2 linked regions of the Ovis aries genome follow. The protein of the gene in region 1 purifies or fractionates together with the protein of each later gene. This does not show direct contact. Links are inferred from orthologs where the notes say so. Each region holds a gene or a part of one and is shown in the gene's direction. Other genes may lie near its edges.

The links.
Region 2: the proteins of BBS12 (region 1) and BBS7 purify together in Homo sapiens (co-immunoprecipitation; 3 studies listed by BioGRID and IntAct, counting the BioPlex papers as one, with this or other methods). This does not show direct contact. The link is inferred for Ovis aries from reciprocal best matches to the Homo sapiens genes BBS12 and BBS7.

The regions. Positions count from the first base shown.
Region 1 is NC_056070.1:35,163,438-35,167,992, reverse strand, and holds the start of BBS12 (Bardet-Biedl syndrome 12 protein), read left to right. Parts: upstream 1-1,626; 5' UTR 1,627-1,736; exon of another isoform or gene 1,737-1,764; intron 1,765-4,555. Other genes in the region: centrin-4, read right to left, coding at 9-149, 461-523. UniProt on the Homo sapiens protein: Component of the chaperonin-containing T-complex (TRiC), a molecular chaperone complex that assists the folding of proteins upon ATP hydrolysis.
Region 2 is NC_056059.1:3,743,381-3,747,201, forward strand, and holds part of BBS7 (Bardet-Biedl syndrome 7 protein), read left to right. Parts: intron 1-797; coding exon 798-962; intron 963-3,821.

The DNA.
Region 1 (4,555 bases):
TTCAGAACCTTCAGTTCTTTCACATCTATGGTTCCAGACCCATCAACATCGAATAAATCAAAGGCCTCTTTAATTTCTTGCTTTTGAGTTTCATTCAATTCAATTTTTGCTGCATTTTTTTTCCATTGGTCTGAACTTGGTCTGGATGCCTGTAATAAATACACATGTGGGTGAAAGATAAACTGTGTAACTGGGAGAAGTACCAGAACCAGAATTAATGGACTAACTAAATATAATAGACATAGTCAAGCATCCTATTCCATATAATGAACCTCAAGAATTTTCCCCTTTCCCTTTGCTAACATTTATGCTTTTAGTTATAAATATATATCTTGCTGGAAAGCCTGGTTCTTTTTAACATCTTGGGTTTTTCTTTCAACTTAGTGCCCTTTGAGAAGCAGAAAAGGCAAAGAAGACATGCCAGAATAGTAGATGTTATATGGGAAAAAATTGGCCTTACTTGGTATATCCGAACAGCAGTGTTTAAGACATATTTACTTTCATCTGTGCCTGTATGTCTCATAATAAAATGTGTGAGATATGGTTAATTGAAACATCGTATCTTTTCCCACCTTCTCACATACTTTTCTACACTGCAGACTGGGAAATGAAAAAAATACATTTTTCAGGTTAAAAAAATTACTCCAGGGATCTGGAGAAGAATAAAGGTTGGACCAATTATCAATATCCAGGGAAGATGGAGGTCATCTTCCCGCTTCCTGCCATTTTCTGCTGTAGCCTCATTTCAGTATCTTGTCTTCAGCTCTGGGATAAGAGGCAGTAGTATCAGAGATTCCATGTTGCTGTGTATCTAGACACCAGCTTCACATATCTTAAGAGTTGGTCGTGGTAGCAGCGCATTCTTCATCCCTGGACGGCAGCTACACTGGTGTCGTCTTCAGTAGTTCCAATAGCAGAGGTCGTAGCTTCCCCGGCCAGTTTTTCAGAGTTCCGGATGTCTTTCCTAGAGGCCCATATTCTTCAACAGTTTTAAAGCCTCTTATTCTCTGTATTCAACTCGTTTCTGGCTAGCGAGTGGTTCCTGTCTCCAACGCCTTTGGTAAGACGGTTGCTGGGGTTAAAGAGGGGAAAAAATAAACTGGAGAACCGCTCTTCCGTTCCTAGAGCTACGGACAGTGCGCTTCTATTCGGCGACGAATGGAGGGGTTACTAATGACACTCGAGGATAATTTAGAAAGGAGGCGAATAATACATTTCCAAAACCAAACAAAACTTCCTTATTTCAGGGAGAAATTTCAATCTCAGCCCCAGTAAGAAGTTGCATTCTCGCACTCACCATGTCTCCAATCGGCGCCCCCGGCGGGCACCTCCCAGCTTTACCCGCCAGCCGAGCTGCCCAACAGTAGCTCACCGCCCGCAAACCGTTGCTAAGGCCGCTTTCGCTGATCTCTCCTGCAGCCCCGCCTATCCAGGCTTTTTGCCCCCACTGACTGACAGTTGTTTCACCCAATAGTCAGAAAAGAAGACCCTCGAGGCCCGCCCCCTCTCTCTGGTCTCTACCAGTAGCGTAATGGTCTGCCTTTACCCGCCTACCGTTAAGCGGAACTTTCCCTCTGGTTTCTTAGCAACCAAAACTACCAGCCCGCTCAGCTGGGCTTGCTGCGCGCTTGCGCAAAATACGAGGCGTAAGGGAAGGTTCTTTACCCTGGCGTTTTGGCTTCCCAGTGCCAGCCTGACGGCGGCGAGCGTCTCGTAGGGATGGAGACGAGAGCGAGGTTAGTAGGGAGGTGTTTCTACCAAATGGTAAGTCTTTGGTGGAGACGTGAGGGAGCTCTTGTTTCTTTTTCTGACCCTTTGGGGCTTGGAGGAAAGGATGAGGTTCTAGGGCCTGGTAAATTGGTCCAGGTTTAGGTTTACCATCCGGCCAGATTACGAGAGTCCTTTGCTTGCGCCGCTAGACGTCCCTCAGCCTCCACAGAGTGCGGGCCTTGACTTTTGTAACTGCTTCCCTCCTCCGTGGTTTGCCGGGACTCTCGTCTAGTTGGCAACATTTCTTTCCAGGAGAGGCGTGCTGTGTTCTTGGGCCCTTGGGATTCACCTGAAAACTCCTAGCATAGGAAAGAGTTTTTACCTGTGTTGTAGCGTTTCTTTGCACGTTGGACTCACGTATAATCGCTATCAGCCTTTTCTACTGCCCCACCCCCACCCCCAAAACACACACACACACACACCACCACCACCACCACCACCACCACCACCACCACCACATTATCACATTCAACTGTTCCACTGGGAAGATTTTTTTTTTGCCAAATTTGGCCGGTTTTCCAACCATTTCCAGCATAGATCCTCACTTGAGTCCAGCATAGGTAGCCTAATAATCCATTTGACTCAGTAACCGTCGAGATTTAGACGTCCAAAGCAAATTCTTGTCCAGAGGGCCAGACTTACTGGTTCAGCCCAGGTCTAAATCTAGTCAGGGGCCAGCTTAAGTTTGGGGGGTAGGAATGAGGTGATAGTCTCTTAAAACTTCTAACGCTTATTTGCTTACACGGCTGGACTCTATACCTCCTGCAGTGCCTTCTCTAGAGTAACTTCCAAAAATCATACTGGATTCTCCAACACTGGGTTCAGGAAGAATTAACTTTTGCAAAGGGTTTTCCCTTTATCTCCCTTATCTTCTTGAAGGTAAAGAAAGAAACATGTGCAAAGTATATTCTTGAAGTAATCTCCCAAATCACTTCTATTTCAGTAAGTAGAAACGGCACGTTTTCCAAAGCCAACATCTTGTTTTGTTTACATTATATCCCAGGTGCATTACAAGCACTGTAATCATTGACTGGAAAAAAAAACAACTCATTAGGATTCTGGAAAATAGGTGGGCTGTTCTAATGTTAGAAGTGATTTTTATGTGTAAAGTTACCCAGTGGAAATTAAAATGATGCAAATTCAAGATAGTTTGTGAACTAAGTAAAATGTTCAGTCACTTCACTATACTATATATGGATATTTCAGGCCATTAATCTCACTGAGAAAGTTGCTCTTGATTGGTTTCAAGAACATACACTTCATCTTTTTTTTTTTTTAATTTATTTTTTTTTTTTACTTTATTTTACTTTACAATACTGTATTGGTTTTGCCATACATTGACATGAATCCATCACGGGTGTACATGCATTCCCAAACATGAACCCCCCTCCCACCACCCTCCCCATAACATCTCTCTGGGTCATCACCGTGCACCAGCCCCAAGCATGCTGTATCCTGCGTCGGACATAGACTGGTGATTCGATTCTTACATGATAGTATACATGTTACAATGCCATTCTCCCAAATCATCCCACCCTCTCCCTCTCTCTCTGAGTCCAAAAGTCCGTTATACACATCTGCATACACTTCATCTTTACAACTAGTATTAAAGGGATTTCTGAAATCAGAAATGAATAATGACCAAGTAGAAGCAATTCAAATTTTTAGACTTTGCTGGATCAAGTTTGATCTTATGGCAATTAAAAGACTGAGTAATGTGTTAACCTGTTTTTGCATCATTTTATAATTTAGGCTTTTATATTTGGGATATTATAGTGAAAATGATTTTTCAATTATGGGTGTAGATTGCAGTTTCAAGGTCTTAGGAAGTACTCAGGATTGAAAAATAGCTTTTACTAATCTAATTTTACTCTAGAACATTAATAATATTAATCTAGAAAAATATTAAACCCATATCACTCTTAAATCTACTAAATTTATTTAATGCTTTCTGTGTATCACATACTATGCCATTTATTGGGTGAGTTTGAGAGAAACTGAGTGTAGAGTATAAAGATGAAAGAAGGCAGGGAACCTAGAGAGTAGTGAGGGAGAAAGGCACAGACGTAAACATACCATTTTTAGTTCAGGATGCTAAGTGCCTTAGTAGATGTATATAGAAAGTACTTTGGCAGCCCAAGAAGGAGATACTACTACTCCTTGAGGAATTGGAAGAAGCTAAGAGTTGGACACGACTGAGCGACTTCACTTTCAGTTTTCACTTTCATGCATTGGAGAAGGAAATGGTAACCCACTCCAGTGTTCTTGCCTGTGGAATCCCAGGGATGGCGGAGCCTGGTGGGCTGCCATCTATGGGGTCACACAGTCGGACACGACTGAAGTGACTTAGCAGCAGCAGTACCAAAAAAGTGAGGCATTTGCCTTAGGTCATGAAAGATGTATAGCATTTGCCAAGGTGAAGAAAGGGTAGGATATTCAGAGTAGAGTATAACATGTGCAAAAATGAATGTACATGTGTGTTGTAGTGTGGTAAGATCATGGGATTTATAAGAAAAGGTGGAAGAGATTAGTCTTATAAATTAGCTGGAAGTCAGATATATCAAGCTAGGAATAAAGATTCTTTTTTCTAAGATAAATGTTTTTAGGTAGTGGAATGATCTGATTAGGTTTGTGTTTTTCAAAGCTAATTCTGACAACCACGTAAAGGAGGAACATTTTGGAAGCAGTTAAAGGGCCTCAGCTAAGTGCCAAGTAAGAATTATGTTGACTCTAAGGGTGGCTGAACCTTAAATTTATGGTTGAGGAATGCCGACAATGGCATCTG
Region 2 (3,821 bases), on another chromosome or scaffold:
GAGCTTTCAAAAAGCGGGGGATACCTGTGTTAATATTTCTAATAGAGATGAGTCTTTGTCTTCTTTTAGAGGCTGATTTGAGCTGGGCTCTCCTTGGATTATAGTCTTATATATGTTCCTACATGACATTATGGAAATAATGTAACTCTCTGGGTTTTGGTTTTTTTTTTTTTATCTGAAAATAAGGTTCATGTGGAGATCTCCAAAGTTTCTCTTAAAATTCTTTCTGTACCTTTAATTTGATAAACTTGTATTTTCTTAACTATCCTTTTGATTCATTTTACATTTATTTAATTTACTTTACAACCTTTTATGTGTATGTGTGATTTGCAGGATAGAAATTTAATTCCATATCCTTGCAAAATAGAAGGTATCATTCCTTAACTTTCCTAGTGGCACGCAGCTAGTGTTTCAAACCCACATCTATCTGTCTTAAAAAAAGCCCAGTTCTTTACTTTCACATTATGCTGATTTTTTTTCCTTACCTTGTGTATGTTTTGTAGTTTGTATAGTAAAAATACTAGATGAACTTATGAAAAATGGAATTGACCTAAGTAAACTGAATTTTTATTTGTAAAGGCATATTATAATGAAAACAAGCTTTTTATGTCATTTAACTGTTAAAGTACAGGTATAGCAAAATGTTTATCTGATGGGTAAGATTAACCTGAGAAAAATTAAGTGGCTGCTTTTATGTTTGTAACTACTATTGCGAAATTCTGTTTTTTAATGTATTAAGTACATGTAATACCTCTGTGTATTCCCACACAAATATATGTACTTTTATTAAATTGCAGACCCATGAATACATTGACTTTGACAGGTCAGTTCAGTTTTTCTGAACTTCACTCCTGGGTGGTTTTTTGCATGCCTGAAGTTCCTGAAAAACCTCCAGCAGGAGAATGTGTGACATTTTATTTTCAGAATACCTTCCTGGATACACAGCTTGAAAGTACCTACAGGTGAATAAAACTTATTTGTGTTTCACATGTGTTTTTACATAAATGGAACTTGTAAATTGTCATAGGTTTTAAGACAGTAATTTGCAAATAATATAATTTGAAAACTATACTGTTCAAGAGAATCTACTGAAAAGCAAGTGGGACTAATGATTGACTAGCAATAAATATGAAAGATCAATATGTTTCCCATTCTCAACCATAACCAGTTAGAAAATAAATTGTTTTTTTTAAATGTTTCAGAGCAACAATAACAAAATATTCATAAAAATATGTGGGAATGCTCTTCCTTTAGAAATATGTAGAACTTCATGAAGAAAACATTAACATTTTATTGACATAAAAGATTTGATTAATGTGAAGACATTGTAAACATGCAAGTCCTTCTCAAATTGACTTGAACATTTATCCTAATTCCATTTTGAATTACAAGAAGAATGACCATTGAGTTTCTTTATGCAAAAATAAGAAATGGCTCCGAATTTGAAATCTTAGAATATGCAGGCTTTTGAAGCTACCACATTATGAAGTGAAGGTCATCATTCTCTTACACTCTTCCTCAAGCTCACAGTTGCGCTCTTGCCCTCTTCACTGTCACTCCCTTGCATAGGCCTCCCTACTTTCTGTTTCTGAATATAGTGGAGACCAAAATTTTCTTCTCCTCTGTTCTTTTTCAGAATATGTTGGGTAAGGCTGATTTCTCTGTAGTCTGCTTTTACCTTGTACCCTTATACTTTTTCTCATTCTCTCACAGCTATAGGTTAGTATTGTCTGTTTGATCTTTTGTTTTTATTTTAATTTTGTTGTTTGGAGGGGAGAGGGCTTCTTATCTTCCCTCTGTTTCTGTCTCTTGATTGCTTCCCTGAGCAGTTTACTGAGGTATTCTACTTCTGCTTTCTAGCTGAGACTTTACCACGCTAAGTTCAGCAAACAGCAGTGCACACGTAATTTTACCTTTGGGACCAATTTAGCCTTTGGGACCAAGAACTCTCCAGAAATCTAATTGGTTTTATTTTATATATATATTTGTTTCCCCAAATCTTGCTTATATAATTGGTTTTAGCATCAGTTCTGAGGAGCCATTTCACTGTACCCTCTAGGGAATCTTATCTGTGTCTAAGCCTGGAATCATGACTTCTGTTTTGGAGTATGACAGCGAACCTCACACTTTAATCATAGTAGACAATTTGACAGGCCCCTGGCATGTTATATATTTTTACAGTAGCACATCTTTGCTTTTTATCATTCTGTATCCTTAAATATTCTTTTCTTAACAGTCAAAACTCTACTTATCTTTGAAGGTCCAACTCAGTAGCTACATTTTTGAAGTTTTCCTGGATGCTCTTCTCTGTTCCCATAGCATTTTATTCTTACCTGTCTTAGACTTTTCTTGTTACTTGTTTGAAGTATGTAATAATGTTTATGCAAGCTGGTCTCTAAACCAGATTGTAAGCTTCTGGGCAGGGTTTATTCCTTGATTGTTTTTGTTTGTATCCTCACGTGTCTAACACATGGCTTTGAACATAGTGTTGTTTAGTCGCTAAGTTGCGTTCACCTCCTTTGCGACCCCAGGGCCTGCACTTGGCCAGCCTCCTCTGTCCATGGGGATTCTCCAGGCAAGAACACTGGAGTGGGTAGCCGTGTCCTCCAGGGAATCTTCCCAATCCAAGGATCTAACCCAGGTCTCCTGCATTGCAGGCTTATTCTTTACCACTGAGCCAGCTGGGAAGCCCCTGGGACATAGTGGTACACTCAATAAATGTTTTTTTGGGTACCTGATTAAGAAATATATATTGAAGAAGACCCTGCAATCTGACTCCTAGGCATATATCTGGAGAAAAACATAATCCAAAAGGTTACATGCACCACAGTGATTACTGCAGCACTGTTTACAATAGCCAAGACATGGAAACAACCTAGACGTCCATCAGCAGAGGAATGGATAAAAATGTGTTACATATATACAATAGAATATTGTTGTTGTTGTTCAGTCGCTAAGTTGTGTCCAACTCTATGCTCTCTCCTGGGCTGCAGCACACCAAGCTTCCCTGTCACCGTCTCCCAAAGTTTGCTCAGGTTCAAGTCCATTGAGTTGGTAATGCTATCTAACCATTACTCAGCCATTAAAAAGAATTAAATAATTCCATTTGCAGCTATATGGATGGACCCAGAGAGTGTCATAGTAAGTCAGTCAGAGAAGAAGAAATATGGCATGACACCCCTTATATGTGGAATCTAAAAAGAAATGATACAAATGAACTTACTTACAAAACAGAGACTCACAGACTTAGAAAACTAGCTTATGATTGCCAGGGGGAATGGTTAGGGACCTTGGGGAAGGTCATGTACACACTGCTGTATTTAAAATGGGTAACCAAAAAGGACCTATTGTATAGCATATGGAATTCTGCTGAATGTTATGTGCCAGCCTTGATGGGAAGGGGAGGGGGCTTACGGGAGAATGGGTACTTGTATATGTATGGTTGAGTCCTTCACTCTTCTCTTGAGACTGCCACTACATTTTTAATCAGCTATACCTCCATACAAAATGAAAAGTTTAAAGTTTGGATTTAAAAAAAGAAGAAGTATATACTTTGGAGACAGACATACTTAGGTTTGAATCTGAGTCTCTGTGACTCACCAGCTATTCGACCTTAGCTATGTTACTTTCTGAGTTTCAGTTTCTTTTCTGAGGAATGGAAATAATAGTACTTACTTCACTGAATTGTAATGCTTAAAGGAAGATAAACTATGTAAGTCATTCTACAGTGCCAGGTACCATATATGTATTTAATGTGAAATTTCATTAAAGTTGAAGACTAGTGGGAAAAATCTCATGATTTCTAAAATATAATTCGGATC